4 separate regions of the Mus musculus genome follow, and all the other regions are reported to be linked to region 1. The links are microRNA targets in miRTarBase. Many come from high-throughput screens and were not tested one by one. Region 1 holds a microRNA gene; each other region holds the end of a gene's coding sequence.
Evidence for each region. Region 1 holds the annotated microRNA mmu-miR-290a-5p (ACUCAAACUAUGGGGGCACUUU, at 2,045-2,066, opposite strand). A microRNA usually pairs through its seed, bases 2 to 8, with sites in the 3' UTR of a target mRNA and lowers its output. Matches are read on the target gene's strand: a 7mer-m8 pairs with bases 2 to 8, a 7mer-A1 pairs with bases 2 to 7 and ends in A, and an 8mer does both.

Region 1 (5,806 bases):
AAGGGAAGCACTTTCCACTTAAAAGCTTAGATAGGGCCTCCATTTTGAGTATGGCTATATGGAATTTCGCTAGATCCAAACATGCCTACAACTGAACTGAAGATTAAGGATTATTCAATGCCAAAAGGATAAATGCAGCTATATGTAATACAGTACCTGTCAAATCTGGGTCACTTCCCGTGAGGTTCCGTGCACCTCAGCTTTTACTTTTGCCCCATTACAGACTGAATCATACCCACAGATGACACCCAAATGATGCAACACTTAGGCCAACTGCAGTTTCTCAATCGGCAACACTACAAACTCTGCGGCACTTCTTACAAAGAACAAAATGTCACACAGTTTGAGTACCACAGATTGAAGCATTTCCACAGGGACCTGCTGTGGTAATAAACCTGAAACTTTATAGTCAGTTCTTAGCCAGACCAGCCAGCCAGGCAGGTTGAAGGCAAGTAAGTACCCCAGGCTAGGCAGGATTACATTCAACTCAACTGGAACACCTGAAAAACAAAGAGAATCCATGAAGATTATGCTTAGGGCACACAATGTAACACCTGTAATCCCAGCCCTCATGAGCCTGGGCTATTGTAAAGCCAAAAGGTATTATGGGTATTATCTACCCGGCTGTCCACCAAGCTTGTTTGTGCTAGGAGCCAGGTTAAAGTCAGCTACAGCCAGCAGGTCCTAAAAATTCAATCCAACCATATCAAGACTCACAACCATCAGTCCAACTACAGTAGTCAAGCAAGATATAGCAACTACAGTAGTCAAGCAAGATATATAGGATCTTTTAATCCCAGGTGGATGGAGCTGAGGCCAGGCTGGTCTACAAGTGAGTTAGCTCCAGGACAGCCAGGGCTACAGAGAAACCCTGTTTGGAGAAAAAGGAAAAAAATTGAAAGAGGACTTAATATGGCGGCCACGTGAGATTTAAAAGTAGGCCTTTCTTTACTCAGACCTGAGGCTTAGACTCACCACCCCTGGACCTGGAGTGCCTCCTTCCACCCTGCCCTGCTTCCTCCTCACCTCCAGCCTTGCAGCTCGAGTAGCCAGTGGCAACGAATTCACCTCCAGCACACATACCTGTTTCAAGCAGGTAAGCGATTCCAGGTTGCAGCTGCAGCCGGCTTTTCAGACGCCATGTACACACAGAGACAAACAAAATGGATGCACTTTCCCGCCAAGCCGCGGAGAGGGCCTCCACTTTGATCGACACTGTATGTTCCAACTTCCAAGACCTGAGGCTCAGCTCCTCCGAGCGAGGCCCATGTGGGATCCCGGCTCCTTTATGAACGCGGAAAGCCTTTAGTACCGCATGCGCCCAAGTGTTCGGACTCAAACCCACATGTGACACCCACCTGCCCAGAAATGCAACCCCAGTGAAAACATGACCCACTAAAACTTAATTCTTAGTTCTTAGCCGTTTTGAGTTCTCAACCGGTGACACTCAAAACCTGGCGGCACTTTTCTTCCGATGAAAATCCAAAAGAGCCCCCAGTTTGAGTATCACAGGCTGGAGGTCAAGCTTAAGAACAATCTACAATGCACCTGGACTCACGACTGCCTTACATCCATCCGCGTCTCGTGGCACCCAACTGAACCGCCCTCTTTAGGATAGGACCCATTAAACTCCAAGCCTAAACCCCCACACAGGTTGTCCGCTCCTGTAAACCGATGCGTCAGATGCAAAGCTATGATGTTTTCCCCATGCAGTGGCACACAAAGTGGAAGCACTTTCTCATTCAGGCTCAAGAGAGGGCCTCCACTTTGATGGCCGCTACATAGGTGTAACAGCTCCAAGCAGCGACAGGACGCACATGGAGCCCCCAGGTACCCTACAACGACCACCTCAGTTACCGTCTACTGGGCAGGATGCCCATCCCTAGCCTTTCGCTATACTCAGTCTCATTCCTTTCTTCGAATCCGTACTCACCACGCTGCAGTTAACCCGGAACACGTGGCACCAGGGCTGGTAAATGTGCCAGATAGCCGTTTTCTCAACCGGCGGGGCTTAAAACTAGGCGGCACTTTTTAAAGAAAAAAAAAAGTGCCCCCATAGTTTGAGTACCGCAAGATGAGGCGGTCCAGACGTTAAAACATTTACCAGGAGGAAAGAACGTGGAGAACTTAAAATTCACTCCAACCTGAAGGAAACCTGGATGAAATCAAGGAAGAGTTAGTACATCGGTCTAACTCAAGGTATAGTGAAACTCAAAATTTCTACAATGAAACCACGTAGTTAATGAAATGTACTGCATAGACTCCCTAGACCTGCCCTCAGTAACTCCTAGCTTTGGTTTCTGGTCCCCAAACTTCACTCGCGCCCAGACTACTCACTTTCCCCACATAGGCTCGTTCCTCCCTTGAAATTATGTAGACCAAGTCAGAAAAAAAAGCCCAACTCTTTTTCCACACACATTAGTTCTAAATGTCTTCTTTGGAGACCAGACCAACCTCAGATGGGCCTGCCTCTGCCTCGGGATTAGTAAACCCAGCCAAACCGTGGGGGCGAGCGAGGAAGGCTGAGTTCGCGGCTAGCCTGCCTTTTAAAAAAGGGGCTCTAGTTTTTAAAAAGTAGAATGAAGATGGCCGTGATGACCTTTAATCTGGAGGCAGAGAGGCAGGCAGAAATGAGAGTTAAAGGCCAGCCTGGCTAGTCATCTCCAAAGTTGAAGCAGGAAGATCTCTCTTCTGGAAATCCTGGATCTACTTTCGCCTCTCTAAACCAGGTAGATTAAAACCACAGAACTGAAGGAAATAAAAAATCTGAAACTAAAAATATTACCTTTGCCTATGTGAGAAGCAGCACGCCGGAGGTATCCCTGAAGACCGCAGAGACCAGCATTCCCGATGTGGAGTAGAAGTCTCTGAGAGGCGTGGGGGAGGCTCTAGGTTCTTATATAGTCTGAAGGCTCATTGGCCCCCTGGACTGGGAGGCTCTGATACCCCTCCCCCACCCCGGAGAATCCTTACTCTACCACCCTGCTTCCTCTGAGCTGAGTTTCCCTGCGGCAGAGTGACCTTCACTGGTTTCTTCTCCCCCCCACCCCCCAGAGGAAACAGATTTCTTTGTTTGTTTCTAGAAGCAGCGCCTTTAATCCTATAGTTTTCTAGGCCGAGGCTGGAGGATCTTTGTTAGTTCAAGGCCAGCTTGGTCTACTATGGTGACTAGGCACGGGACTAGGCAGGGCTACATTCAGTATTAAGATAATAATAAAAATAAATAAAGGAAGAATGTGGGAGGTTCAGTTTATTCTTTCGTTTGAATTTTTTTTAAATCCAGAGTTTCAAATCCTCCCTCTTTTTTACCTTTCTTTCTTTCTTTCTTTCTTTCTTTCTTTCTTTCTTTCTTTCTTTCTTTCTTTCTTTCTTTCTTTCTTTCTTTCTTTCTTTCTTTCCCACACTGAATATGAAGGTCCAAGAACAATATGATAGAGTTAGTTTTCTCCTATGCTTAAATATGTTTTTTTTGGGGGGGAGGGGGTTCAAGACAGGGTTTCTCTGTGTAGCCCTGGCTGTCCTGGAACTCACTCTGTAGACCAGGCTGGCCTTGAACTCAGAAATCCGCCTGCCTCTGCCTCCCAAATGCTGGGATTAAAGGCGTGTGCCACCATGCCCGGCTGTTTTTCTTTTGTTATTATTATTGTTGTTGTTATTATTATTTATTAAATATCTTTAAATAGCTCCATGGATTGAAATTAGGTCTCCAGGCGGCAGGGCTAAAGCTACAGAGGCATATTGCAGACTTGGAGTTTAGGGTTTGTTTGTTTGTTTGTTTGTTTTTTGGAGACAAGGCTCAAGTACGCCAAGCTGGCCATAAGCTCATTAAATAGCCAAGAATAATTTAGGACTCCTAAGTCTACACCTTGTGTGTGTGTGTGTGTGTGTGTGTGTGTGTGTGTGTGTGTGTAATGGAACATTTTTAAAAAATTAATTTAATTTTTAAAAATGTATTCACCCTACATCCTACTCACTGCCCCCCTCCAGGTCACCTCCTTCTACAATCCTTCCCCCAACCCCAGTCTTCTCCTCTGAGTCGCCCCCCCCCCCCCAGCACTTCCAGTCTGTGGGGCTAGGTGCTTCCTCTCCCACTGAGGCCAGACAAAGCAGCCCAGTTTGACCATCATAACTCCGGGACAGGCAACTGCTTTTGGGATAGCCTCTGCTCCAGCTGTTTAGGACTCACATGAAGGTCAAGCTACACCTCGGCTACATGTGAGCAAAGAGGCCTAGGTCCAGCCCATGTGTGTTCTTTGGTTAGTGGGGACTCATAAGTCTTTGTCTCCAATCTTCCAAGGGCTGGAATAGGCATATACCAGTATGCCCAGTTCAGTCATTAATTCCAGGCATATTTAATATACTTTAGATGTCTTGTTAATTGAACAAACAAGCCTCACCAGCAATTTGCTAGGTCTTAGGCTTGGGGAAGCAGATAGAGATATGGGTTTGGTCAAGTATAATGGCACATTCTTTTAATTCCAGCAATGGGTAGGCCAAGCAGCTACAAGTGAAACTGTGCCTCAAACAGCAGCAACAAGAAGGATAATTCTTTCTTTCTTTCTTTCTTTCTTTCTTTCTTTCTTTCTTTCTTTCTTTCTTTCTTTCTCTCTCTCTCTCTTTCTCTCTCTCTCTCTCTTCCTTCCTTCCTTCCTTCCTTCCTTTCTTTCTTTCTTTCTCTCTCTCTTCCTTCCTTTCTTTCTTTCTTCCTTTCTCTCTCTCTCTCTCTCTCTCTCTCTCTCTCTCTCTCTCTCTCTCTCTCTCTTTCTCTCTTTCTTTCTTTCTTTCTGACTGGATCTTTCTAGGCTAGGATGCCAGGAGCCTAGCCTGGGATGAGCTACTGATTTAGCTTCTCTTCAACTTTCCCAAGATGGCCTTGGCAACTCTGTTCCCTGTTCATACTGTGTTGAACATAACCAAGCAAAGTGCCCCACTAACTTAACCCTAAGAATTTTATTTATTATTTATTTATTTATTTATTTATTTATTCACTCACTCACTTCCTTACTTGCTTATTTCTTGTGACAGGATCTTGCTAGGCAAGAGAGGCCTGGAACTCACTATATAGACCAGGCTGGCCTCCAAGTCACAGAAATCCACGCATCTCTCTCTGCTTTCTCGAGTATGGGCTTGTACCAAGCTGGCCCACAGTGAGCGTTTTAAAATTATGTTTTGTTGGACATGGTGGCACACGCCTTTAATCCCAGCACTCAGGAGGCAGAGGCAGGCGGATTTGAGTTCCAGGACAGCCAGGGCTATACAGAGAAACCCTGCCTAAAAAAAAAAAAAAAAAAAAAAAAAGTTTTATTTTTGGTGTATGTTGCAGGGAGGGGCAGAGGTGAAATGGAAGCATATAGGTGTTAGACAGTAGCTTGTAGCACTGAGTTCTGTCTTACCTCTTGGGGTCCAGAGATTGCCTTCAGGTCTTTGAGTTTGGCAGTATACCTGTTTATACATTAATACAGCTCAAGGGCTCCATAAAGAACACTTTTGAAAGCACCTAGGGTTAAAAATGTAGAAGCATCTCTTAAGTCCTCCATAAGGCCTCCTTAGAGTTTACCTTTGACCCTTAGGCCTAGCAGGGAGCTCAGAAGTGGAGGGGCAAAGGTGGGGTGCCACTCTGGCTCCCCTTCTCCTCTTTATCATTGTCAGCTGCCTTCCAAGGTTCTGACAAAAACCTTTCTATGATGACACTAAGAAACAGCTGTTTTAGCCCGGTGTGGTGGCGCACACCTTTGATCCCAGCACTTAGAAGGCAGAGACAGGTGGATTTCAGATCGAGGCCAGCCTGGTCTACAGAGTGAGTTCC
Region 2 (5,806 bases), not on the chromosome of region 1:
GCTAGCCGGGCGTGGTGGCACAAGCCTTTAATCTCAGCACTTGGGAGGCAGAGGCAGGCGGATTTCTGAGTTCGAAGCCAGCCTGGTCTACAAAGTGAGTTCCAGGACATCTGGGGCTATACAGAGAAACCCTGTCTCAAAAAAAAAAAAAACAAACAAAAAGAAGGAGAGTGACAATGGCCAAAGGGACCACTACAAAACATAATCCCCACAGGTGTGACCAGAGACCTGAAGTTTTGGGTAGATTATATGATATTTCTTAAATGTTTTTTTTTTTTTTGAGTCTGTTTGTAATCTTCTATCATCTAGTGATGATCAGGGGTCAGCTTATGAACTCTTCATTAGAGATATGGAAGAAATGAGTGAGAACGGGAAAGAATCGCCAAGAGCTCTTGAAGTGGGAGCAGGTTGAGCCCAGGGGAATCCCCATTGTGACAGAAAGGCTCACGGTATCTGTTCAGCCTGAGAAGGAAGCATTTGTATAGGCAAGAAAGATCCACATGTAGCTCCCAGCATGCAGTTGTGCTTGCTGTCTCAGCACTGCTCACCACGACCCCCTCCCTAAAATGTCTGGTATTCTCTCCCCAGCACCTCAGGCATAAGTTTTACTGAATGCCTATACATTCCAGATGCTCTGAGCACATGCCTGTCACAAATGATGATGACACAGTCACTGAGGTTTGGTATTTGACTAGATCTGTATGTGAAAAAGAGACTGGCAGCCATGTTGGTGCATGCCTTCCATCTCAGCAGGCACGAGGCAGACAGGGCACCTCCATGAGTTGGAGACAGGCTAGACAAGGTAGTATAGTGAGAACCAGGCCCTGGTGTAGGCTTTTAATAAGTGACTTTTAGTAAGGTTTCTTAAATGCTTTAACCTTTCTTCTATTCAGTTCACCACCCAGCAGAAAGAATGGGAACGGTTATTAGGTTACGGGGGAGGTGGACTTGCTTAGAAATAGTTCTTTGGAGCAAATCCATCATCAGTTCACTTCACAAGAATCAGCAACAGCAGGTCCATCCAGAGGAAACTGAGAGGCTCTGCTGTATGTGGTTTGGAAGAAGTTCCTTGGGGAGATTTCAATCTCCAATTGCCAGGATACCAGCAGTCCAGTTCAGTAGTCAGGATAGCAAACATGAATTAGCAGCAATGGCACTACCCAGCAGAAACAGCCAGACCTCCGCTGAATCAGCGGGATTGACCAGGACCGGCTGGGATGCCAAGCAAAGTTCTCTGTCGTGCCTCTCTCAACAAAGTGAAGATCAGTGAAGACAAAGACGTGTTGCAAAGGTAGCTATGCAAGCCCACCACCACCGTCCACTGAGCCTTGTTCATACTCCCTCCAAACATCACATGTCCTCAGCAAACACCACGTGAATTAGCATCAGCTGACATCATTCTGCCAATCGGCTCAAGTCTGAAGCAGCCAGAAGTCTCCAGAACACCACTAGCAGTTTTTTGGTGCGTTTCTTTTTGTGTCTGCTTCAGCGAAACATTCTTCCATGTGTGTGCTTTAGAAAACATCCTTTCACCTGTGTGCCCCAGCAAAATGTCATTGACATAACTGACTTTCCAAAGAAACCAGAAGTTCCACTTTACCCCGTAGGTCCTTTGCAGTCCTGAGCAGCACCCCAGCTTACCTTGAACTTGTGGAAATCTTACCTTAGCCTCCAAATGCTGAGATTTTAAGTACAACCCTCCACACCCAGCCCCAATTAAAAAAAAGACCTTTGTTTACTTTGCACACGTGCACATGGCTGTGTGAAGCCGGAACCCACGTGAGAGAGCAAACTGCAGGGGCCACTTCTCTCTTTTCCCATGTGGTCTTGGAGAGCAAACTCAGGCCTACAAGCTTGGTAGCCAGACCTTTATCTGCCCCTAAGCAGGCTTCATCTGTCCTCTCTTACAGAGGGTCTCACTAAGTTGCCAGGCTAGCCTTGAATTCATTCTAAAGTCCAGATGGTCCTTAATCTCGTCAGACTCTTGTCCATCTTTCCCTGGCTGGGATTATAGACTTTCAGATGTGTAGTACCATATTAGGCTAAAATTTAAAAAATAAATAAATAATTTTTTTTTCCTGTGTAGTTCTGGCTGTCCTGGAACTCACTCTGTAGACCAGGCTGGCCTCGAACTCAGAGACCTGCCAACTTTTGCCTCCTGAGTGCTGGGATTGGAGGCATGCTCCACAATGTCTAGTTAGATGTGGTAATATTTTATCTTAGCAATAAGGAGGCTAAGGCAAAGAACTAGGTATGGGTGGAGAGATGGTTCAGTGGTTAGTGGCACTTCCATTCTTCCAGAGGAACCAGTACTCACACTCAGCAGCCGACTACTCCTAGGATAAGCACTAAGGAGGTACGTGAACTCACACGCACACACCCCAACCCAGACTCACATAAAATAAAAAGGAGGGAAAAAAGCAAGAGGAATACTATAGCATGATGTCATTTAAGAACAATCTTAGTCGGGCAGTGGTGGTGAACGCCTTTAATCACAGCACTTGGGAGGCAGAGGCAGGCGGATTTCTGAGTTTGAGGCCAGCCTGGTCTATAGAGTGAGTTTCAGGACAGCCAGGGCTACACAGAGAAACCCTGCCTCGAAAACCAAAAAAAAAAAAAAAAAAAAAAAAAAAAAAAAGAACAATCTTTCCCAAAACAGATCAACAAAGGTGAACACACTCACTGACAAGTAAGTGACTTTTGGGAAGAAGAGCAGCATCTACATCATTACTTTGGTGTTAAAAGTTTTCACACAGGGCTGGAGAGGTGGCTCAGGGGTTAAGAACACTGACTGCTCTTCCAGAGGTCCTGAGTTGAAATCCCAGCAACCACATGGTGGCTCACAACCATCTGTAATGGGATGCAATGCCCTCTTCTGATGTGTTTGAAGACAGCTACAATGTACTCATATAAATAAAATAAATCTAAAAAAAAAAAAAACCCAAAAGAAAAAAATTATACAGCTTCACACACATATACAGGAAAAACTAATAAATATGTCTTTAAAAACGAGAGTTTTCAAAACAAAATAAAAGTTTTCACATGGAAATTGTATTGTGCTACCTGTGTAATTAAAAATAAACAAGGCAGGGGCTGGAGAGATGCCTCAGTGATTAAGAGCATTTGCTATTCTTACAGAGGACTCAGGTTCAAGTCCCACACAATAGCCTACAAACACTTATAACTACAGGAGATCTGACATCCTCTTCTGGCTTCTGTGTACACTAGGCATATAAGTGTTACACAGTCATACACATTAAAACAAACAAATGAAAGAAATCAAAGAAGAAAATACAAGGAACTTGGTGAAGGGTTTGCTCAGGCTGTTCTCTAAACCTTCTCAGGTGAACCCCCTGCCTCAGCCTTTCAAGTATCTGGGAATAGAGGAGTACACCAACATGTCTGGCCAGGGTCTGTGTGTGTGTGTGTGTGTGTGTGTCCATCTATAAAAGTGGGACTGAGGGTGCAGCTCAGTGGTAGTGTACTTTGCTCGAATGCATAAAGTGGATTCAGTCCCCAGCACTACAAATAAGATTTGTATGATTTAAAAGGTAGTCTGGTATATGTGCCATGTATTACAAATATCATTTTATTTAGAATATTCTCACTGTTTAGCAGCTCATTGTGAAGTGCTTAGGGGTGAAGTATCAAGAGGTCTGTAGTTTTGGAATAAGAAAGAAAAGTACTGAGGGCAGGAAGTTAAGAAGACAGTGGAGGAGAGGATGTGGCATGGGAACGGAGGGAGGAGACAGCAAGTCCACAAATGTCAATCACTGGTCACCCTAGCTGCATACTTGTGGGTGACTAATCAACATTTTCCCAACATCTTTGTAGGTTTGAAAAAAATTTCAAGGCAAACACAATGCCAGGCCTCCTTCCAGCGGTGGACTGACCCATGCTCCCTAGTGTGCTAAGCACACAAGTCACTTGCATTACTAGCTTTCACCTCTAAGAACGTGTCGTCTCTCCTGGGAGTGCCTCTCAATTCTTTTCCAGAAAGCCCCAGTGCAAAGCAGCCAGTAGCATGTACTAGGAGGAAGGGCTATAAAAGTGAAAAAGTGGCATATGAGGCTCACACCTCCAAGGCTGGACGCCAGTGTCAGTTCTGAGGGTGGCATAGCACATATCTCCTGGTTCCCCAGGTTGGTCCCAATGCAAGGGGTTCCTTTTCAGGGGGACACTGTATGAACCAGTAAAAAGGGGAATATTCCCAATATCCACCCTTTTTTGCTTGTCACAATGACCCTAAGGTTGACACCCTCTCTTGACAGTTGAGGAAACTTGTTCTGCAGGAGTGCTTTGCGCCCAGCTCACATGCAGAGGAAATGGACTCAGTCCACATCTTTGGGTAGAAAGTCTCCCTCAAGCCATGACTCCTTTTCCGAGCCAGGAAGAAAAGGACACGTACCTGGTTCCGTCTTGTCTAGATTACATTTCCCCACACTGTGAGATCACCACTGGCAGTTTGGGCTTATTGTTGGGGCCTGTGGGAACATTCTAGAAAACAAAGCACAAGATCATGAAATGCACTCAGGCACTTACCCGGTGCCTCATGGAACCTTTCATCTCCTATGGAAAGGTCCAAGATCAGGCTGATGTAAGGAGCGTGTCCTGACGGAGAGTAAAATATAACAGATCAAGGAGAAGAGGAACAATGAGAGGCCACAGCCCACAATGGGATCATGCAAGTTAGAAGAACACTGAAGGGATCCAGCTTACGGAGAGGGAGCCACAGAAGGGACATTGGAACTGGGCCAGGGACCATAGGTAAGATCCCAAGGAGGAATTCTTTAGGTAGAGAGAAGTGTTGGAGCCAAGACTTAGGGTGCGAAGAGCAGGAGGCACACACTTGTAGGACCTCCTTAGAAAAGAGCCAGGAGCTTGATGACACCGGACCAGAGGAGACAGTGGCAGAAGGGGTCACGGAGGGGCAGGTAGGGTACAGGTCACAAGGATTCCAAATGCAATGCCAAGAAGTGGAATTTTATTCAGTGGGCATCAGGATCAGAGCCAAAATCCCAGTAAGTGCTGGGCAGGTTAATGAATGGGTCCAAGCTTGAACTCTCTTTCCCAAAGGAGCCTGGAACTGTGAACAGGGACAGATGGTCTAGAAAACTGGCTCCTCGGTAATAAGCATGAGACCCCTGACCACAAAGACTCAGGACACCCATCAGGACCTACCTCGATCTTCCTCATCACTAGAAGTCCGTCAATGATTTTTCCTGCAGAAGAACATTAAGTAAGGCTCCCTTCTTGGTGTGATCACAGTGTTTTCCAGCTCCCAGGGACCATGTTCCCTTAGCATCTCATCAGATCCCCTCACAACGCAAGGAGACTAAGGCTTGCTGAGGGAGCTTACTCACCCAAAGTCACGGGGAATCTACACAGAGAACGAGTACAGGCTTGAATATAAGTGACCCCAAGCCCACTCCTCCATGCTACCTCTAGGGCATTTATTATTTATTTCACGAGTACTTATTGAGATACTCGGGCTGGAGAGATGGCTCAGTGGTTAAGAGCACTGACTGTTCTTCCGAAGGTCCTGAGTTCAAATCCCAGCAACCACATAGTGGCTCACAACCATCTGTAATGGGATGCAATGCCCTCTTCTGATGTGTTTGAAGACAGCTACAATGTACTCATATAAATAAAAAAAAAGAGATACTCTTGTTTTTCCCGAGTTCTAGCCAATCCCCATGTCCATCTGTCCTGCCATCCCCACCATGTCCATCTGTCCTACCATCCCCACCATGTCCACATGCCCTAGCCTAGAGTAGCTACAGCAGCTGAGCACATCTAGTGGGTG
Region 3 (5,806 bases), not on the chromosome of region 1:
CAGCGGGCCTCCATACCCCAAGTGTTGCACAGGCACTCTGTTGCATTGGGTGACTCTGGGTAGTGGGTAGAATCTTGGCCAACTATGAGTCTATATCCCTTTTCCTGGCCCACAGCTGGGAATCTAATGCCATGTTTTGTGGCTAAAGTTAGAAGACATGCAGAATCAGACGGCCCAAGCAGTCGTGGGCACTAGACCTAGGTAACTGAGAACACACTGACGGGGCTATTGGCTTTGATGCTCAGTTAACTGCCCATTCTGGGAATGGCTCCAATTTCAAAAGTTAAATGCTGGGCTCGTGAGATGGCTCAGTGGGTAAGAGCACCCGACTGCTCTTCCGAAGGTCAGGAGTTCAAATCCCAGCAACCACATGGTGGCTCACAACCATCCGTAACGAGATCTGACTCCCTCTTCTGGAGTGTCTGAAGACAGCTACAGTGTATTACATATAATAAATAAATAAATCTTTAAAAAAAAAAAAAAGTTAAATGCTAAGAAATCCCACCTTGTTCAAAAAGAGGAGAAAGCAACATATGAATATTGTCCAAAGCAGACTTAGCAAATGGGAATGTCTGTGATTAGAGCTCACACACTTCCTGTTATGCTTTGTTTAGAAAGGACACTCTGAGATAATGGGACAAGATCAGGAGCCTGTGTGGAAATGTGTGTGTTTTCAGAGGTCACAGAGGATTGGAATCTACTTCTGAAAGCCCATAACTAAATTTCAGGACTTAACTGAAAATATAAAATTTAGGCTTTAGAAATTATATAAATTATTTCACACTGTAGCGGTTGCGGCGAGCACTGTCTGTTTTGCAATGTTAAATGGATCTGTCTTGTTGCAGATGTGGGCGATAGGGATCAGTGTCCTGGTGATCATTGTCATCATCATCATCGGTGAGTTACCCATGGTCATAGACGTTCGTCTGTGCAGCAGCAAAGAGTGGATTCAGTCCAAGGTTTAAATATCGTTCTTTATCAAGTATTTTAAATACTTGAGGGTGTTTTGAGATGATGGTATTGCGGGAAGTTTGAGGCAGGGTCTCGAGGCAGGGTCTCGATGTTCAACCCAGGCTGGCCTTGAACTTGTGATCTTTCCGCCTTAACATTTCAAGCGCTAGGATTATAGGCCTGTGCCACCAAAATGATCCTAAATATTTGAGTTTTTGTAATTAAAGTCTGGTGTTTTGTTAGATGGATGATGGATAGATGGGTGCACTTATCCTTTAAGAATAGCAAATCTCACTCCTAATGTCTGGTCAATTTTTCTCTCCTGTGCAGTTTTAGTCTGTGTCCTTTTGTGGAATGTAGTGATTAGCTGAGTTGATCCATCCCAGCTATGCCACCTGTAGTAAGGCTCTGTGACTTTGGGCAAGCAGTTGGGTCTGTCTGGACCTCAAGTGTCCTCATGAATAAAATGAAGATGGTAATGGTGTCCACCTTGTGTTGTTAGGACAAACCTGGTTATTACATAAGAAAGTACCTGGCATAGGAGAACAGAAATAGTAATTATGTAAATAATGTATATAGCTAGCACATAGCTACTCCCACCACTCTTGTGACTGCATATTAGAAGAACTCACTTTATTTTCATTCCAGTCTATGCGAACATCCTAGCAAAGCATGCCTTCCTTTGCTAGTTCTTGTTAGTATTTCCTTTTCCACTTTTGAGTTTAGTCTTCCCCAGAGCCCTGTAGCATGTAAAGAAGCTGCCAGTGGAAAACTGGCCAAGTCAGTTTCTCTCTGTCCCTCTTTAGACAGTAGAAGTCCATCCCTACTGAGTATTTGCACACACAAAGACTAACATGCCCTTTTCATTGTTTCTAAATCTTCCCTGCCTCTTAGTGTGGTGTGTCTCTTAATGAAGAACCGATGAAACTGAAGCCCGATATTCAGGATCTTCTTCAAGACTTTCTACTTAGAACCTGCCGTGTTATCGAGCTTACCTATTGTTTTTTTTCCAAATGATTATTTTTGTTAGTTTACATACAGTTTAGTGCCTAGAAAATGTGCCTTTGTTTTTCATATACACTCCAAACTGGAGGTGTGACCTACCCTCCCCACATTTTGCACAGTGCCTTTACAGATTTCTGGACTGGGAAAGAGGACTTGTGTAGTTCTGAGTGCTGAATGGAGGTGGATGTTGTCACTCAAGATGACTTGTTGTGGATTCCAGGAAGGGGGTTTTGTTCAAGGCAGCTGTCCCCACATCTGACATCATCTTCAAAACCACATTTTAAACTTTTGGGTAATTAGATTCCTAACTTGGACCTTCCAAGAAGAACACTACTGCCTAACAGCAATGGGTGACAATAGCAGGGTGTGCCTTATTTTGATAGCTAGGAAACTGTTCTTTAAGATTATTCTCCGTTTGTAAGCACTACTGACTCCCGCTGTATTTAAGATGCTGGTGAAGAGCTCATGCTCTTATGTTAGATATGACTATGTTTACTTTCTTGTTCTTGTTGTATATCACTCCTAAAATAGTATTTTAACCAGAAATAACCCTTTAAGAAGTTTTTATAGAACTATGACCAAAGTTTCTATTTTGCCAAAAGTTAAGTACAAATAAATTGCCCCAATAGATACATTCAAATAAGTGCCAAATGTAACTCAAGGTGTCCTTTAAGAAAAATGTTAATACTGTGAGAGCGAGCCTTCAACATGTCGGCAGTCCATCCTGTGAAATGCTATAGAGAAGGCTAGTCATTCTGATTTGGTTTCTTCTTTAGAGCTATGGAGGTGGGCTCAGATCACACCTGTAGACAAGATACTTAGCCAGCAGTTTGTAGACTGAGCTAGGCTGTGGTCTCTAGTGCGATGTGAGCAGTAGCCGTGCAGCCTCACCAAGGCATCAGTCTGCACAGAGTTCCAGAAGACTGTGTACTGCTTGTACTCATCTCTGTCTTATGCTTGAGGTAAGCCACCGGTCACTCGTAGAGGATAGCTAACCAGAGATGCCTGGTGCTCTTAGAATGTAGCCATTGCTGTCTGGGACAGTTTCATTGTTTATATGAGACTTTCATCAAGGCTTGGTTCAAAGACAGGAGTTCAGGCATGGGTGGAATTGAGGAAGTGGTGAAGGGAAAGCTGCTTGCCTATGGCAGTGCCACTAGAATGTCCTGAAATCTGTGTTTGTGTGTAAAGCAGCATTACTCAAGATGTCATAGAATCTGGTTCTAGTTTTTTGTTTTTGTTTTGTTTTTTGAGACAGGGTTTCTCTGTATAGCCCTTGCTGTCCTGGAACTCACTTTGTAGACCAGGCTGGCTCGAACTCAAAAATCCGCCTGCCTCTGCCTCCCAAGTGCAGGGATTAAAGGCGTGTGCCACCAACGCCCAACTGGTTCTAGTTTTTTATCTGTTCCCCTAACATTACTGAAACAATACAGATGTTGAAGATATGCCTTGCCGCATCAGCCTAGGGCTTCTGTCCTGGTCTGACCTCACAACTTTGGTGCTGTCTCCTCATATTCTGTCCCATGTAACTCAGTGGCTCCTGTATTAACACAGTGATACCTCGCTTCTCTGTGCATTTAGCTGGGAATGTTCCCGGTATGGTGACCAGAATAAAGTTGTTTATTAACATGATCCTGTGTCGTGTTTCTTGGAGTGGAGTTGGGAATACACCTGATGCATGTCCTAAACTTCTGACCCTTGATGCTCCCCCTCCCTCCCTGACAAACTATGTTTTTTTCTTATTCATTATCCTAGGAGCACATATTCCTGTGAGAAGATGTAGATCTCACCCTGTGTTAGGGGACTCTAGAGCAACAGAACTAATAAGGTGAACATATATTTTTAAAAGATTTTTATTATGTGGTATGGTCTACCTCACACTGAAGATGCTGAGAACCTGATAGCTGCTTAGTCCATGAGGCTGAGTTCCTCAGAAGTTTCCATCTGGTACTGTGGGCCTGGAGGACTCCTGGAAAATCTCTGGTGTTAAGCCCATGTGGAAGCCCATGTGGAAGCCCATGAAAACATACTGAGTTCTGATAACATCAGAGTGCAGCAACAGCAGGGTAGATTAACTCGCCTGTGAGTGAAGGCTTGCAGGCAAAGAGCAGAGCTTCCTTCTCCTATCTTCCCCACTTTACATACTCCGAGCAGGGAAACCCATCAGGAATACCTGGCAGGCTGCCTTTTAGTTGATTCCACATACAATGGAGTCGACAACTGGAATTAACCATCATATACCTTAATGAAAAGTGCTTTTCAGAGCAGAGATGAGTCCATAGCTGGTTTGCAGTTACCAGACCAGTAAGGATTTGGCTATTGGGTTTCTTAAATAGTGTCTTCTGGAAGTGATTTGTAGAGTTGACCCTGGTACACCACACAGCTACCAACCACACAGGTAAACTTAGGGGAGGCATGTCCCAAATGTGTGGCTTTTTTTTTTTTTTAATCTGCCTTCCTTTGAATATATTTCCCCTCATTCCCCCACTCTTGCAAACAATGTAATATAGACCGGGTAGGATTTTGTCTATGTTTACAACATAAAAGTCTAAATACTTTTCCTTAAGCACAAACCCCATCACAATCTGGCCCTTCCTTTCTCCCATTGCTTCAGGTTCTTTTTTTTTTTTTAGATTTATTTATTATTATTATATCTAAGTAACTGTAGCTGTCTTCAGACACACCAGAAGAGCATCAGATCTCATTATTGATTGTTGTGAGCCACCATGTGATTGCTGGGATTTGAACTTGGGACCTTCAGAAGAGCAGTCAGTGCTCTTAAGCACTGAGCCGTCTTTCTAGCCCTCGCTTCAGGTTCTTAATGACTAACCTGTACTTCACAAGGATGGCCTGAAAGGGACAGTGCTTTTCAGTTCTGTTAGCCCACCCATTTCCCCCACCCCAAAGGATCACTCAGATTCAGTTCCCCTTCTCAGCGGCCCTCCCTTACCCTCCAGCCTGTTCCCTGGGGCTCTTGCCTCCTTCCTCTGTCCTTCCCATTCCTACCAGTTTATGTCCTACCAGCATCTTAGGCTTTCTTGACTTTGAGGCATCATCCATGTGTTGTATGTTGAGTATGAGAGAATTTGGTTCTGTCCTCAGTACAATAATCCCTGCCCACATGTGCACCCAATGGTCGTACAATGAATGTTTCTTGAAGAACTCAGGAGTAGAGTAATCCAGTGTGGAGAAAGACTTTTTTTAAAAATCGGTCATTTGCCCAATATGAAATGTGGATACTTGCTCTCTGGCATTTTCCCCTTCTCCTTTGGCCTGAACACTTTCATTCATCCAACAAATACTTAGTGTATTTTTTTAAAGATCTTATTATTTATGTGGTGTATGTCTGGATAGCGTATGCTCACTGTGCAGGTGTCTTGATGGATGAGGGCATTGGATCTCCTATAACTGGAATTACAGGCACTTTGTGAGACACTGATAGAAGATGCCTGGGAACCATCCAAAGGAAGAGCAGTAGGTGCTTAACTCTCAAGTGCTGTGCCATCTCTCCACCCACTACCGAGTGTGTTCTTGATGTACCCAGGCAGCAGAAGGCTGGAGCTCTGCCCTGTACCTTTCGTTTCTGAAGGGTAGAGACAGTTATGTAAAAGGAGCATCCTGGCTGTTTCCTCGAAAACAGAGCGTCGCTTACAATACTATCTAACTCCTGTTGCCAAATGAACCTGTAACTCGAGGGCAGCCAAGGACCTTACCTTGTACCATTAAACTTGTATTTCTGAAAATACGGTTGGATTCTACCTGGGTTCACTCACCTATATTGGCGGGTGGGAGAAAGCAGCAAGTTTTGGAAAGATGAAAACAATGGGAACCCCAAAGCACTGCATTCCTG
Region 4 (5,806 bases), not on the chromosome of region 1:
ACCAGGGGTCTCTGTCATCCCCATGGGACTGAGGCAATGGCGTCCTTGACATGGTTGTGCATGCGTCGGTAATACACATCCACTCAAGACATCATTTGATCCCCACAGAGTGCCTTCATATACTCATTTCTTCTTTGTCACTCTGCTGGGGACGCAGCTGTGAACAAGATCTACAGATCCTCCACCCAGCCAGTAGCCTTAAAACAAATAGTTACACTAGGTGTACCAATTGACCAGAAGAGGCAGGTGGCAGGGCCCCCTAAACCCTCAGAGGAATCTTACAGTGAGAAGCCTTGGGAGAGACTTCCTCAAGGCCACGGGCCCAGCCTGAGCCTAAGCAACGGTCTGCCTCACACCTTATTGAAAGCCCAGGCCACCCCTTTCTGTTGCCCATCACTTCATTCCTCATTCTGCAGTGGCTCTCCAAGGAACCTGTCTTGTCATCACTTGCCGTCATGTTATGTCACATAAGAGGGAGGTGTGCAGAAAGGTGGCTGCCCTTTCTCAGCACTTGCTAGGAACTTGACATTTGTTTGAGATCAGAGTCAGGTTGAGATGGTCTACACTGTTGAGGAGACAGGCTTTTCTCTACTTTTGATGGAGCAGACATTTATGTACCATGCTTTGGGCCACCTGGAGAATCCAGATAAGCAGAATAAGTTTTCTACCCTCCAGGAGCTCGAGGGTAGAATAAAGGTCAGGCCATCATGGTGCAGGCCTTGAATCTCAACACTTGGGAGGCAGAGGCAGATGAATCTCTGATTTCTAGGCTAGACTGGTCTAATGAGTGAGTTTCAGGACAGCCAGGGCTACACAGAGAAACCTTGTCTTGGGGATGGGGGTGGGGGGTGGGGATCATCAAACTAAAAAAGGAGGTAATTGGGTTAATGGGGTAGGTAGGTTGTTACAGAGGCCTCTGACAGCAGAGTGGAATCTAGGTGGGTGGGTAGCCCCAGAATTTATTTGGGCTGGGGTTTGTAGGGTAAGGAGTTGGCAAATAGTTAAGAGATGGGGATAAATAGAGCTTTGATATCAGGCTACAAGTGGGCTCCGAGGACGCAGTAGGTTATCAGTAAACTCCTGCTGAGTGGATACCTTAGAGGAGATGAGAGGAGACACTTTGTTAGGTATGCCAATGTTACTCTCTTCTTGGAGGCCCCGGTGCCCTAGGCAGTGCAGAGCTGGGACACGAACCCTATCATCAACACCTAGATCTTGGAAAGTCAAGATAATGGCCTAGGCTGGACATGGAGGCAAGTGAAGAGGGGTGGGCTGGCCATCACTCCCAGTCCTGAGGAAAGCTAGAATTGGAGGCCTGTTACTACGCTCTGAGACATGTCACACATCCTCTCATACTTAAGAATATCACTGGGACAGCATTTGACAGCAGAGCACTGACCCCTCGAAATGTTCTCCCTCTTCAACTGTTTTTTTTTCTCTTTTTTCTTTGTGTTTCCTTTTCTCTCTCTCTTTTTTTTTCTTTGTGTTTCCTCTTTTCTCTCCAACTGTCTATTGAGCAAGCTGGGGCTTTTAAGACCTGCTTCTGGGTTTCTATGAGGGTTCCTGCGAGTCTGGGGGTTGACAGGCAGGCTGCACCCAGGCTGACTTTTCTCTTCTTGCTCATGGTAGGGTTTGGCATCAGCTCATCCTTTCTTGGCATCTCGTGGGCACTGCTGGATTACCATCGGTCTCTGCGTACCTGTCTTCCCTCCAAGCCACGCCTGGGCCGGAGTTCCTCTGCTATCTACTTCCTGTGGAACCTGCTGCTGCTGGGGCCCAGAATCTGTGCCATCGCCTTGTTCTCAGCTGTCTTCCCCTACTATGTGGCCCTGCATTTCTTCAGCCTGTGGCTGGTACTTTTGTTCTGGATCTGGCTTCAAGGCACAAATTTTATGCCTGACTCCAAAGGTGAGTGGCTGTACCGGGTGACAATGGCCCTCATCCTCTATTTCTCCTGGTTCAACGTGTCTGGGGGCCGCACTCGAGGCCGGGCCGTCATCCACCTGATCTTCATCTTCAGTGACAGTGTTCTGCTGGTCACCACCTCCTGGGTGACACACGGCACCTGGCTGCCCAGTGGGATCTCATTGCTGATGTGGGTGACAATAGGAGGAGCCTGCTTCTTCCTGGGACTGGCTTTGCGTGTGATCTACTACCTCTGGCTGCACCCTAGCTGCAGCTGGGACCCTGACCTCGTGGATGGGACCCTAGGACTCCTTTCTCCCCATCGTCCTCCTAAGCTGATTTATAACAGGCGTGCCACCCTGTTAGCAGAGAACTTCTTCGCCAAGGCCAAAGCTCGGGCTGTCCTGACAGAGGAGGTGCAGCTGAATGGAGTCCTCTGAGGCAGGGTCTGATTCAGCCAGTGAGGAAGATAATGCGAGTGGGGCCTTGCAAGGGACAAGGCGGGCCAGTCATGTGCAAGCCATTTTTTTTCTTCTGAAGCCGATGGAACTGCTGTCAGCAAACACTCGGTTGTTTGTTGTTCTCACCTCTCAGGTGATTGGTGGCGTCCTGGCTCCTGGTTCCCTAGCCCGCTCTAGATGACACAAGATTCTGGGAGAACTCTTCCCTACCCCATCCCATCCATTCACTTCAACCAACAAATGCTAAAGGCACTTTATGTTCTGGGAACACCATCCTGGCTTCTGAACTGCCTGCCACTCTAGCTTCTTTCCCTGCCCACCTGGACAGATCCTGGGTAGACTCCTAAACAGTGAGGCCAGGTATGTCCCTCCAGTGTCCTGATGCTCAGGCCACCTTTATACCAAGTGCCTTATGGACCTGTGGTCTAGGCCATGTGATGCCCAGTAAGTATTTTCATTCTCCTACCTCAGTCTATGTGGAAGAACATATATGCATGTGTTTAACAGTATTAAAGCCTCATGAGATTCTCCAGACCAGTATGTACCACTAAGTGTAGTCTATCACCCTTTACAGACACGTAGAAGGCGCCTGGAACCCCTTAAAACTGACACAGACCCCTGGCATACAAATGTGGGCATAGGTTTGACTTAATTTTGCTTCCCAAGACGCAGGGGCTAGTGAGCCCGAGCCGGTTGATCATTCGGCTAGCAGAACTCATGGGCAGATGCTAGTGTATTCTTTTAGCAGCTCCGTACTGAGCCTAAAGAGGACTTGAGGATGGGGATGGCAGGTTTGAGGGGCTGGATGGAAGGTAAAGGATTGGGGGTTCTTTTTGGGTGAGAGGTGCAGTGGCTTCTGGGATGTGGTCAATAGCTCCGTGGAGGTGGCGTGTTCTGCTCTCGGAGGTTTGTGGTCTTGTTGGGAAAAGGGAACAGGAGAGAGGCTCCAGGGGCAGAAGAAAAGGTTCCAGGTCCCAGTGCTGGGACCCAGATAGTTCTAGCAGTCATTCATTTATTTGTGTGGACGTGAAATAACCTGTGACCCAAACAAGCACCAAGTACTGAAAGAAAACCAGATGGAGAGGTGAGAGGGAGGATGTATGTTGTGGGTGGAAGTTGCAGCTTTATAAAAAACCATTGGGGAGGACCCCTCTGAGAAACTGAGGCATAGACTGTAAGCTACTTCAGCAGTGACTGCAGCATGGAGTCTGCGTGGTTTGTTGGAGAAGGAATCTGCGAATGCTGTTCCCTGTGGCACAGCAACCCCACTGTAAGAGGACTGTGGGGTGCGGTTGGCTCACAGCCAAGGAGGCTGCAGAGATGCAGGTGGGGGCCTGGAAGAGGCTCTGGGAGAAGGTACTTCTTATACTAAAAGGTACAGGCTGACTATGGACAGAAAGGACCTAATTTCCAGACCTGAATTTTACAGACCAGGAAAAGGAGCCAAAGTGGTTGTTGATGTTAAAAGGGTCTGAAAAACAGTCACCACCTCCGTGTTCACTCTCATGGAAAAACGGATGTAATCACACCAGAAGGTGTCATCCTCTAAACAGATGCCCCCACAGGTACACACCTGAAATCACTGTTACTCTCATTTATGAAAATGGTAAGATAGGGATGAGCCAGTGTGACACACCTACCAGTCTGGGCAAGGACATCAGGAGTTCAGACTCCTCAGTGACAATGTCAGAGGCCAGCTTGGGCTACATGAGACCCTGTCTCCAACAAAATGAAATTATTTTATTTATTTATTTATTTGGCTTTTTGAGACGGGGTTTCTCTGTGTAGCCCTGGCTGTCCTGGAACTCACTCTGTAGACCAGGCTATCCTCAAACTCAGAAATCTGCCTGCCTCTGCCTCCCAAGTGCTGGGATTAAAGGCATGCGCCACCACGCCTGGCACATTTTTTTTTTAAATTAAAAAAAGAAAGACGTTACTACCCTGCTCTTGTTTTGTGACACACAATCTGGTCTGAGAGGACCCTGAGCACATCTTCCTTCCTTCAACACTACCGTGCTAAGTTCTTAAAATCTGGGACTTAAAACCAGGTTAGTGACATTACCCGTAGTTAGGATGTTTGGTTTGTTGGGGATTGGTTCTAATGCTCTGTCTTAATTCGGCTCCCAGAATCACACGGGAATCTGCTCTGCTAAAGGAAGCCTGTCACTAGTTGGCTGTGATTGGGAAATAAAGTTGCCCAGGGCTGGCTGGGCAGGAAAGAGGCGGGACTTTTAGGTTGTGAGGGCAAGGAACCCCGGGGAGTTGGAAGCAGAGGGATTTCACTGCGCAGTTGGGTCTGGGGCAGCAGAGATGAAATGATGACTTAGCAAGTCGACTCAGGGAGGTTAGGGGGGTAGAATGTATGCTAGTCGCACGGAGGGTTAGACACGTCCAGCCACTGAGCTAGTCAGAGCATATCAAAGTTAGATGGTGTGTGTCTCTCATTCACAAATCCCGGGAACACTTGGCCAGCCGGGAGTCAGGGGTCTAAGCACTACAGGGTTTGGAAACCAGCCAACACTAGAATCTGCACTTGTGACTGAGCAGGGGTACGGACAACAGCTAACAGTCTACTTGAGCTGCACTGCGGCTCAGAAGATCACTTCCCGGAGAAAATTCACCTTGGAGTCCGACATATCTCACCTTTGGAAGCTAGAAACAACTTCTAATTTCCTTCACTGGAACAATGGGTAAAAAGCCCTCTTGTAAGCTAGTGGGGGCCAATCAGACCAAATGTGGCAGAATGTAGAACACCTGGTTGGTGGGACGGGAAGTCAGGATTTATTGGGTTGCGGCTTAATTAATGCTCAGCACAGACTGACTCCTCCTTGGTAACGTTCAGCACACTCGACAGCTCTGAAATCCATTCCATTTCTATACCTTAAAAAGCAGTGTATTTTAGAAACAATTCAAATAAACATTTCTCTCGCAAACTTACAATTGTTTATTTTCCAGGATAGACCAAAGGATGACTTTGTGTGTGCGTGAAATGACTGACTCAGTTAGTTAAAGGGTGACATCTTGATGAAGGACCCTGGATGGCTTAGAAAAGACAAAGGAGAAAACCGTATAGAAAATAAAAACTTTATTTTTTCAAGTTTATAAGATAGTTCCCATTACATATAACATTATGGTCAAGGACTCTATAGCCACAAATGCCCGCAGTCACATAAATATATATATCCCACCCATGGATGCCTTTTCCTGCTACAGAGGCATCTGGAGTCCAGAGGGAGAGTGGAGATCCAAGTAGAAATGGTCCTGAACTGGGATGGCTCCGCTCAGTGTGAGGAGGCAGCCAGGGAGCCATGCTCACTAGAATTGACTCAGGGTAGAGGGAGGGCAAGCGGCCCGCAGATGAGGCTGGGACACAAGCGGGGTTCTCCCCCTCGTGGTTTAGATGTTTGGGAAGCTCAGAACGCCAACCTGGCATCTACAAT

Region 2: the mRNA of Ppih is a reported target of mmu-miR-290a-5p. The part of its 3' UTR that is shown has no 7-base or 8-base seed match.
Region 3: the mRNA of Vamp3 is a reported target of mmu-miR-290a-5p. Seed matches in the 3' UTR shown: 7mer-A1 at 3,205-3,211.
Region 4: the mRNA of Xkr8 is a reported target of mmu-miR-290a-5p. Seed matches in the 3' UTR shown: 7mer-m8 at 3,158-3,164 and 7mer-A1 at 4,130-4,136.

What each region holds. Positions count from the first base shown.
Region 1 is chr7:3,214,899-3,220,704 of GRCm38, reverse strand. Mir290a (microRNA 290a) reads right to left here and starts at 2,079; the gene lies at 1,997-2,079. Mir290b (microRNA 290b) reads left to right here and starts at 2,010; the gene lies at 2,010-2,067. D7Ertd143e (DNA segment, Chr 7, ERATO Doi 143, expressed) reads right to left here and starts at 1,921. Exons shown (of 1, transcript NR_028425.1): 1 at 1-1,921. Mir291a (microRNA 291a) reads right to left here and starts at 1,786; the gene lies at 1,705-1,786. It also overlaps Mir292, Mir292b, Mir291b, Mir293, Mir294 and a transcript of Nlrp12 not described here. RefSeq lists a cis regulatory region at 5,103-5,806.
Region 2 is chr4:119,306,351-119,312,156 of GRCm38, forward strand. Ppih (peptidyl prolyl isomerase H) reads right to left here. Exons shown (of 10, transcript NM_028677.4): 8 at 5,182-5,222; 9 at 4,409-4,497. The coding sequence ends at 4,429. Among named protein-coding and RNA genes, the nearest start is that of Ppih, 11 kb to the right of the region's middle.
Region 3 is chr4:151,045,086-151,050,891 of GRCm38, reverse strand. Vamp3 (vesicle-associated membrane protein 3) reads left to right here. Exons shown (of 5, transcript NM_009498.4): 4 at 846-897; 5 at 1,846-3,587. The coding sequence ends at 1,862. The region is part of intron 1 of Gm38529; the gene reads right to left. Among named protein-coding and RNA genes, the nearest start is that of Gm38529, 3.1 kb to the right of the region's middle.
Region 4 is chr4:132,724,394-132,730,199 of GRCm38, reverse strand. Xkr8 (X-linked Kx blood group related 8) reads left to right here. Exons shown (of 3, transcript NM_201368.1): 3 at 1,630-5,296. The coding sequence ends at 2,345. Eya3 (EYA transcriptional coactivator and phosphatase 3) reads right to left here. Exons shown (of 17, transcript NM_210071.2): 17 at 5,435-5,806. Among named protein-coding and RNA genes, the nearest start is that of Xkr8, 5.2 kb to the left of the region's middle.